Caenorhabditis elegans: one gene and its partner. The protein of the gene in region 1 interacts with the protein of each later gene in a pairwise test. Each region holds a gene or a part of one and is shown in the gene's direction. Other genes may lie near its edges.

What was found.
Region 2: the proteins of gln-2 (region 1) and K04H4.5 interact in a two-hybrid assay, tested with the Caenorhabditis elegans proteins (one large-scale study listed by BioGRID).

Annotation. Positions count from the first base shown.
Region 1 is NC_003281.10:9,942,640-9,946,990, reverse strand, and holds gln-2 (putative glutamine synthetase), read left to right. Parts: upstream 1-2,167; 5' UTR 2,168-2,262; intron 2,263-2,307; 5' UTR 2,308-2,313; coding exon 2,314-2,653; intron 2,654-2,866; coding exon 2,867-3,218; intron 3,219-3,263; coding exon 3,264-3,675; 3' UTR 3,676-3,748; downstream 3,749-4,351.
Region 2 is NC_003281.10:9,357,354-9,362,106, forward strand, and holds K04H4.5 (uncharacterized protein), read left to right. Parts: upstream 1-2,006; 5' UTR 2,007-2,965; intron 2,966-3,008; 5' UTR 3,009-3,017; coding exon 3,018-3,098; intron 3,099-3,144; coding exon 3,145-3,613; intron 3,614-3,659; coding exon 3,660-3,727; intron 3,728-3,776; coding exon 3,777-3,914; 3' UTR 3,915-3,980; downstream 3,981-4,753.

The DNA of each region.
Region 1 (4,351 bases):
CCCGTTTGTATTTAGCAAAATTTCGCCCAAAAATTGCCGTGTTGAGACCGGGTACTGTATTTTTTGCTAAATTTCGCGTCTGCTTAAAATTTCTTTTGAAAAATTAATAAAACGATTGAAAAAATTGCAAATCGGCGAAACAGGGAGAATTCACAGTAGACCTTAAAGGTGCATAGTCACTTTGAAAATTGTTCGTTCGTGGCGAGGAAATATCATGCTTCGTAATAACTAACTATTTTTTAAAGTTTAGTATTATATAATGTAAAACTTTTTTGAAAACTCAGATTTCATTTGGAAATGTAAATATTTATTCAACTTCTAATAGATCTATTGAACACCTGGAGCAAATTCATTAACTTTCTTCTGGATCTCTTCATTTGCCGACTTGGTCTTGAACCACAATGCCATTGCCTTGTGCACAGTACAAAATTGATCCGCATTCTCCACGATTCCACATCTTTCAGCTCTCAAACACGACAATGTCTCCTTCGTATTTACTTATTTTCCTTTCTGAACTTGGATCATTGCAGTGAAGAGCGTCAGCATTGTTCCGGCTCGACCGGTACCATTCATGCTCATAAGCAGCATATTCTGAAATTAAATGATTGACTGAATAGATCAACTAAAAATATTACCTCATTAACCTTCATCACTTTCTCAATAGTTGCCACTAAACCTCCAACATTATCCAATCCTTTCTTCTGCTTCCAATTTTGCAAATGATATACTGTAGTGAACAATGAATTTGAGCATCCATCCGGCAGAATTTCCAAGCTATATTCAGTAACTCCAACGGCTGATTCTACCTTCTTATTTATGAACATTTTGCCATGATTTGAATAAGTTCCTACCAGAAGTGGGAATATTTGTTGAAGAGTGACTTCAAGTGGCATTACAGCAACAATAACAGATATTATATTCTCCTGAAATACCATCCTCCAAAAATCCTCAACATTTTGAGTATTTGATAGATCCGGCACTTGAGTCAATATAACAGTCCTATTGAAATCCGGAACGACGATTTTTGCAGCACAAATAAAATTGTCTGGTCCATTGGTCAATTTGATAAGCTTGTGATCTTCAACTGGACAGTCGGGAGCTCGAACTTTCTGCATGTTGTTCTTGAAACAAGGACACGATTCAATATTCGGCTTCGATGTTGGCGCGTCTTTGAATGCTCCGTTGATATTTGAATTGTCTGAAAAAAATTATATGTTTACCCGGAAATTAAAAAAAAAATTGTGCACTGACAAGAAAAACAAAAATAAACTAATAGATTCTACAACAACCAAGAAATATCTCGAAAAACCGTACTGAAGAATCCATTGGCGACCATCTTCTTGGCTGTTCCATCGCACGACCATTGCTCCTTTGATCCATTCTTCTTTTCATCCTTCTTACTCAAAACATCACTTCCTTGTTCTCGACATCCTTTTCCTGTCTTCTTTCCTTTATCTTTTCTTGCTTCACTACTATTTCCTGACTTCTTTATAGCTGATGTTGGTTTGCTTGGCTGCTTCCGTTCACTTCGTTCATACGCAAATTTTCCGAAGGCTTCTTCTTCTTATTTAGATTCGATCTCATCGACTTGATCATCTGAAAACAAAAAGTATGTGACTAGGTTTAAAACTACAAGTACTTGGGCGCTGCCAAAATTTCATGCTCAGCTCTAAGTTTTGTAAGTATGTCAGTTAAAATTGTCAAATATCCCACTGACGGTTTTCTGATAAGTTGTATATTTTTGGGTAAAACGAACGGTTCCGAAACGTCCAAAAAAGTGTTTTTTTCCAAACTTTCTTTCCACATGCCTACGTGCATGCCTACTTGCCTACATGCCTATGTGCCTTCTTATGCCTACATTTTGACGCCGGTATTGCCAACTTCTCACAACGTTTAAAGATTTTTTGAACCTGAATAGAAATAACCTTACCTTGAAATTTAATAATTGTGAAATAAATGTGATTCGAAAAGAATCACTCACTTTTTTTTGGATACTTTTTTTAGATTGTAAATCGAAAAATTAGATTAGATTTTAAAAAAACTTAAAAGTTTTCACGATATATTCAATAATTTTTTTAAAAATATTCCCTTAAAAATTAAAATTTTTAAATACATAAAAAAGGTTGAAACGTGGTGTACTACAGATTTCCTCAATATTTTAAATATTATTTTGTTACTTTTTAACGTGGATGCCCGAAGAAAAATTCATTACGAGCTTGTCTCTACTCGAAGAACACTCCTCGATTGCAAATTGTAATAACCGTAAGTATTTCCACAGATTTTCATATTTAAAAGAGTAACTTTCAGCTAAAAATGACTCATTTGAACTTCGAGACTCGCATGCCTCTTGGAACAGCCGTCATCGATCAATTCCTGGGACTTCGCCCGCATCCCACAAAGATCCAGGCGACCTATGTGTGGATCGATGGAACTGGGGAGAATCTGCGCTCAAAGACACGAACATTCGATAAACTTCCGAAGAGAATCGAGGATTATCCAATCTGGAATTATGATGGAAGCTCGACGGGACAGGCAAAGGGACGTGACTCGGATCGTTACTTGCGTCCAGTCGCCGCTTACCCGGATCCATTTTTGGGCGGTGGGAATAAGTTGGTGATGTGTGACACGTTGGATCATCAAATGCAGCCAACAGGTAAGAGAATAGGAAAATAAGGCATTTAGATGCCTGCCTGCGCGCCTTCAAGTTGCCTACTTTATTGTGCTTACGTGCAATGCGTGCTAGTCTTTCCACGTTTCCGAAGCGAATGAGATGAGTCTCACAGCGAGAAGATGGTCTGCTTCTCCATAAAAGCGCGAATTCACAATTATATTCTAGTGATGAAACATCAAAAAACATCGATTTCAGCAACCAGCCATCGTCAAGCCTGCGCCGAGATCATGCATGAGATCCGTGACACCCGCCCGTGGTTCGGAATGGAGCAGGAATATCTGATCGTCGACAGAGATGAGCACCCACTCGGATGGCCGAAACACGGATTCCCGGATCCACAGGGAAAGTACTACTGTAGCGTAGGAGCTGATCGTGCGTTCGGGAGAGAAGTCGTCGAGACACATTACCGGGCTTGTCTTCACGCCGGACTCAACATTTTTGGAACAAATGCCGAAGTGACTCCAGGACAATGGGAATTCCAAATTGGAACCTGCGAAGGAATCGATATGGGAGATCAGTTGTGGATGTCGAGATACATTCTGCACAGGTACATAAATCAACCCCGATAGTTGTAAAATAAAAATGATTTCAGAGTTGCTGAACAATTCGGTGTCTGCGTATCCCTTGATCCCAAACCAAAGGTCACCATGGGAGACTGGAACGGAGCCGGATGCCACACCAACTTCTCGACTGCCGAAATGCGTGCTCCAGGTGGAATTGCTGCGATTGAAGCCGCCATGACAGGACTCAAGCGGACACATTTGGAGGCGATGAAGGTGTACGATCCACATGGTGGAGAAGACAATCTTCGTCGTTTGACAGGACGTCATGAGACAAGTTCGGCTGACAAATTCTCATGGGGAGTCGCCAATCGTGGATGCTCAATCCGTATTCCGAGACAGGTGGCTGCGGAGAGAAAAGGATATCTGGAGGATCGTCGTCCGTCATCAAACTGCGATCCTTATCAAGTGACTGCGATGATTGCACAGAGCATTCTCTTCTAGAATCATGTCGGTTAAGATATCCAGAACAAAGAAATACACCTATTTGAATTGAACGGAATAAAATATTCATGAGAATGTTTGTTGTTTTTTTTTTGTTGAAGCTTTCAACTTGAAAGTGTTGAGATTGAGAAAGTTCCAGAGAAAACGGTAAATCCCTTCATATTGGCTAGGTCTGCACATTTGTTTCCCATCGATGCACCATAAAGGTGTTGTGTTAAAGAAGGAGTATCGTCAATGGGGAACTTGTTTTAAAATATAGTATTTGTAAAGTGTGTTTTATTAAAAAAGCAATGCATATGTAATACAAATTCGATTACTCCTCGTGGCCTAGAATTGTCTAGGTAAATTTTTAAAGCTTTTTCAACGATTTTCCGGACTTAAAATGCTGACTGTTAACGGATTTTCCCGTTTTTATTTTGCAATAATTGGACGTTTGAATACGAGTACTACATTTTAAAACAATTTCCCCATTGACTATACTCCTTCTTTAAGGCAGTGACCGATGTATTGAATATGAGAAACAGCTCACAAGAACTGGTTCAAATACAGAATAAGTGGGACGGAGACATAGAAAGAATATTACAATTGGAGGCAAAGAGGAATGCACTTAGATTTCAAGGCAATCATTTTGATATTTTAAGTGATATGAGTCACGAGAAAGGAATGGTACATCTGC
Region 2 (4,753 bases), 590 kb from region 1:
TCATTTTTTATCAGATTTTGGTGCTGCTGGTGGTGGGAGAGAAATAGTGTTGAGGAATTTGGGTTTGTGTTCGTAGGAAAAAGATCACAAGGGCGGCGGCGGGTTGTGTCTCCTTCATCTCACGACAAGACGGGACCCCGAATTTGACAAAAAAAACCGCGGCGGATACCAGGCTCGGCCAGGCGGTCGAGTGATAAGTATGTTCATGTTATGTTTACAAAGTGGTATTTCCCTAAAACATGTTACTTTGAAATCAAAAGATAATATCTACATAATATCAATTTCCGATTTTTCTGAACAAACCTTGAAACTTTATGATTAGAAACTTATAGAGACTTATAGACAACAGAGATTTTATCGGTTGACAACTTTTATTCAAAGTAAAAGCCGACCAAGATATTAAACTTATGTTCCAGCTTCAAAGTGCGTTGCTAGAAACTATGTTAACGCAGGCACCAAAACAATAGCCGCGCCTGCCTGAAACCGCGAGCCTCCTGCTTTGCTTGGGACCCGAAAAGTGTAGGTTGCCTTGAAAGAACCAACTATTGCACGTGGTGCAAACACCAGGAATTTCATGTCATGCCAGAGAATAGTTCAGACAGGTTCCAGACCCTGAAACCGCGCCTGTCTCTTCATGGAAGCTTTACTAGAAACTGAGCGACTCCACAGTCACATCGAAATGTGTTCAATCTCAAATGATCATTGTTTTTAGGATGCTCGTAGACAAAGCGAACGCGCTCACTTTTTTGCTGTTTTTCTGATACAGTGCCGGTTGGTCACGATAAAGTGCAAATCAGTAGTCAAACATCAAACTTATCATAGGGAAAGGAATGGAGGGTGGGGGTCAGATTTATTAAGATATGAGAAATATATCTACAGATTTTTTCTCTAACATTGTAAAGGTTTTTTTTTGCAAAAGATTTTAGTAAAATATAGAATAGAAAGTGTTGAGGTAAATTTATCGACAATACATGTTTTTTGTAGTTTTCCAATTTCGGACACTTCACTATAAGAACAATGTGATAGATATTGTTTGAGTCTTCTCCCACTTATGCTATAAAATTTGCGCGCGCTCTTTGTTCTTGACCTGACCGAATTCGGCTCTCGCCCCTCTCTCTTATTTTCTTATCATATGTTTGGCATGCAAATCAGTGTGCTTCACTGTCTCCAGCAGAGCCAGCTTCAAGCGCATTTCTATTTGTGAGAACCTAGGAAGAGGGAGAGAGAGAGATAGAAACAAGAAGAATCTCTCTCATACATACTGTCTGTCTTTTCGAGATTGTTTTGCGAAGCTTGTACAAAGGTCGTGGCAAACTGACCAACGCACTCTCCGTCACTTGTCGTCCACTTGAAAAAGTACACACTCAAATACTGGCTCGCAAAGGAGGGAGATCCCACCACACTAAATGACCCCTACCGGGCGAGCAAGGATTTGGTAAATTCTCTTGAATAGACTATGATTATGATGAAATCCGAAGGGACACTTTTGTGAAACATTGCGAAACTATTTATTCCAGAATCTTCCAGATGTGCTCCACAAAGTTCAACTTTTGCAGGAGCTCGTCACTTTGAGTCATGAGTGACTGAAATGCCATACTTCAAACAAAATCCACCTGGTTTTTCAATGTTTTGTCATACTGAAAATGAGTATTACAATCTGAAAATGTCAAATGCTGATTTCCTCAACCGTTTTATACAATTTATTATGCGAATGAGCAGAGATTAAGATATTTATAAATGTTTGTGATTTGATCTCAATGATTTGATCATCTAGGTTTTTGATTTTTTTAAATATCATTTATAAAAGTTTCCACGGCAGTGTGCGACTTATTTTTGCGAGTAAGCCTAAGACTAAGACTAAGCCCAAGCTTAAGCTAAGCCTAATCCTAAACATATTTTTAAACCGCTGAACGTCCAGATTTGGAGACTCGTCGTTCAACTTTTGTTTAAAATCTACTTCCCGGTCACATGTTGAACAGACTAATAAACAACCCATTTGAAACATTTTACAACTTCCTGTAACTTTGGACCCAATTATCTATATTTCACTTTGCCACTTTTTGCACTCTGATCCTCAACGTTTTTTTTTTCATTTGTTCGCGATCTTCTTATCAGAAACTTGATTATATGTTTGAGTTCTCCATAACAAATATTATTATATTAATAGACATTTGCCGGCCACTTTTATTTGCGTTTGATCTAAAAGTATCTCCACCAGTTTTTTCTAGCGGGAGTCTAGTCAAGGCACATAACACATGGCTTCTCTTCTTTTCTGTCTTTACCGTCTGTCCATACCCAAAAGCCGGAGAGTGATAAGCGACACGAACACAGTCATCTCTGAAGAGGTCACGAAAAGCTGCTGCAGTACCGCCGCGCTCCTGTGCTTATCAATTGCGCGGTTTCCCTCGCTTTTTGTCTTTGTTTCTCAGTTTCCTCTCTGATTTGTCTTTATCATTCGAGTTTGACAACTAGCGGAAAGTTTGCAAAGCGTCCCTAATGCTCTGAGTGGGCTTCTCCTGGAAAAAGGTTCGAAAGTTCTAAAAATGGAAGGTTCTTTTGCATGGGCGTGCAATGTGCTTTTATTACTGCATCAATTTCGGAAAAAAATTTGAAAATGTCAAAATTATTTTAAACTTATCAATTCTAAAATCAATTTCCAAATTTACAAATGTTTAGAAGGTGCTAAAACCCACAGTACAGAAGAAAACATCCTGATAATTCAATCAGACCAGCTGAAAAACGTGCACAGACGGAACGAATTCACAAACGGCTGGATCTAAATAGAAGTCTCATTTTCCAAATATTAATTTCTGCTAATTATTATTATTAATTTTTCGTGTTACACGGTATTGCCACGTAACTACGTGAAAATGCCCATTCGAGTATAAATGAGCGTTTCTCACTGTTTTAAATTTATTCCCGATTTTACTTTGCCATTTCGTTACAGCGGACAATTTCTGTTCAAGTGAGTTCTAATTTAGAGAATCGATGATTCATTCTCTTTTCAGTTCGAAGCAATGGGATACGTTGAAAGTTTTTATTTGGAGCCTGAAGCTACTCAAATGTTTGGGATGACTGAGAGTAACGATCTTCCACCGGTAGGCTAGGTAATTCAATGGATTGCCAAAAAGTCCTAATTTTTAGCTTGAAAATCTCCAAGAGCTCGCATCTGTGATTGATGTTAACATCAAAGAGCCACTTGTTTCGGATTACTGTGGTTTGGAGTCTGACGACATTCCACCAATCTACCGTGCTCAGCTTCGTGCAGCTCAGAAGGAGAAGATCATTGCAGCCGAACAAGCAGACAAATCTTTCTATGCTTACGAAAAGTCTGATGCTAATTTGGAGGGAGATAAGAAAGAAGTGGAAGCCATCGCACCGGTGGATTCAATGAACTTTGAGTACTACGTCCCGGGTTTCTCTCCGCCGCCACAGAATTTTAACGATGACGTTCAAAAAATGAGCAACTTCCAGCTTCCTAAAATGACATCGATTGAAGCTACTGAGAACGTTTTCAAAATTAATGGAGCACACGAAAAGTCTCAATACGTGTTGATGGAAAATGAGGACCCGAATAAAGTGAATAGCCCAAAAAAGACCGGACTGGAAAGCTGTATGTTTTTATAACTATGCAGAATACAAAAAGTTATCAATTACAGTGATTTCATACACTGCATCGGATGTTACTTCTACAATTGCCTCTGAATCCTCCTGCCTTACCGCTACGGTAAATTTTTTCAGTTCAAAAAATAAAGTTTTAAACTCGTTTTTTTCAGCTTGGTCCAGCTTTTGGCTGCCTTCCGATCACAAGCACGTATGATCGCCACTCCGAGAGCAAGTACAAAGGATTGAGTGCTTTCCGTCCAGTCACCAAATCAATTGAATCGCAATACGCAATGCCGGAGCTCAATTAGGTGTTTCCCAATGTGAAATGAATCTCAAAATCTGTCGATATGAAATGAAGAATTTTTGTATTTCTTTTCAGCCACTTTATCCGAGACCCACTCTCAAAAAGTTGAGAAGAAAGCGGATGTCAGAAGAACATTAGTAGTGTTTTCAAAAATCGTACTGTTTTTCATTAAAAATAGGTACTTTTTCAAGAAATGTTCAATTTTTCAAGATAAAATCGGATCTTCAAAGTTCTTTGGACATTTCTTAATGGTAACAATGGAAAATTGACTCCGAATATCTCTCCTTTTTGTTCACAGATAATTGGCAACTTGTCAATCAGGAATCTCGCAGCAATGGCATTGTAAACGGCCCGCCACCGACAACTTTAGGCACATCGTGCCCGGCCATCAATTGTGTTTTGGGTATATTGTGCTGATTGAGGCGTTCTACGCACATAGTAGTAGTAGTAGTGGTGCAAAAGCACCACGGTGGAACCGTGGAGGTCCTTGGATCATTGAGATCCGCCTGGATCGAAAATTCTGGTGGGGAGGCCCAGTGCCTCTGCCACCTTTTTCGGATCCGTCCACAGTTTAGACGGAGTGAGCGGGGGTTGGATAGAACATCTCAGCATGTGTTCCACATTCCCTGTGACATCGCCACACTTCTTGCAGGCTGGCACCGTGTCGTTGTTGACTCTCGCAAAATAGCTTGGGACCATGGTTGAGTGACCGCATCTGATTCTGGCTAGCTCCACTCTTGTTCCTAGCGGCAAGGATCGGATCTTCTACGCACATCGCGAAAAACCGTGGCTACACAGAATGAACCCAAAAATTCAAAGTCCATAAATTTTGCAGAAAATTTG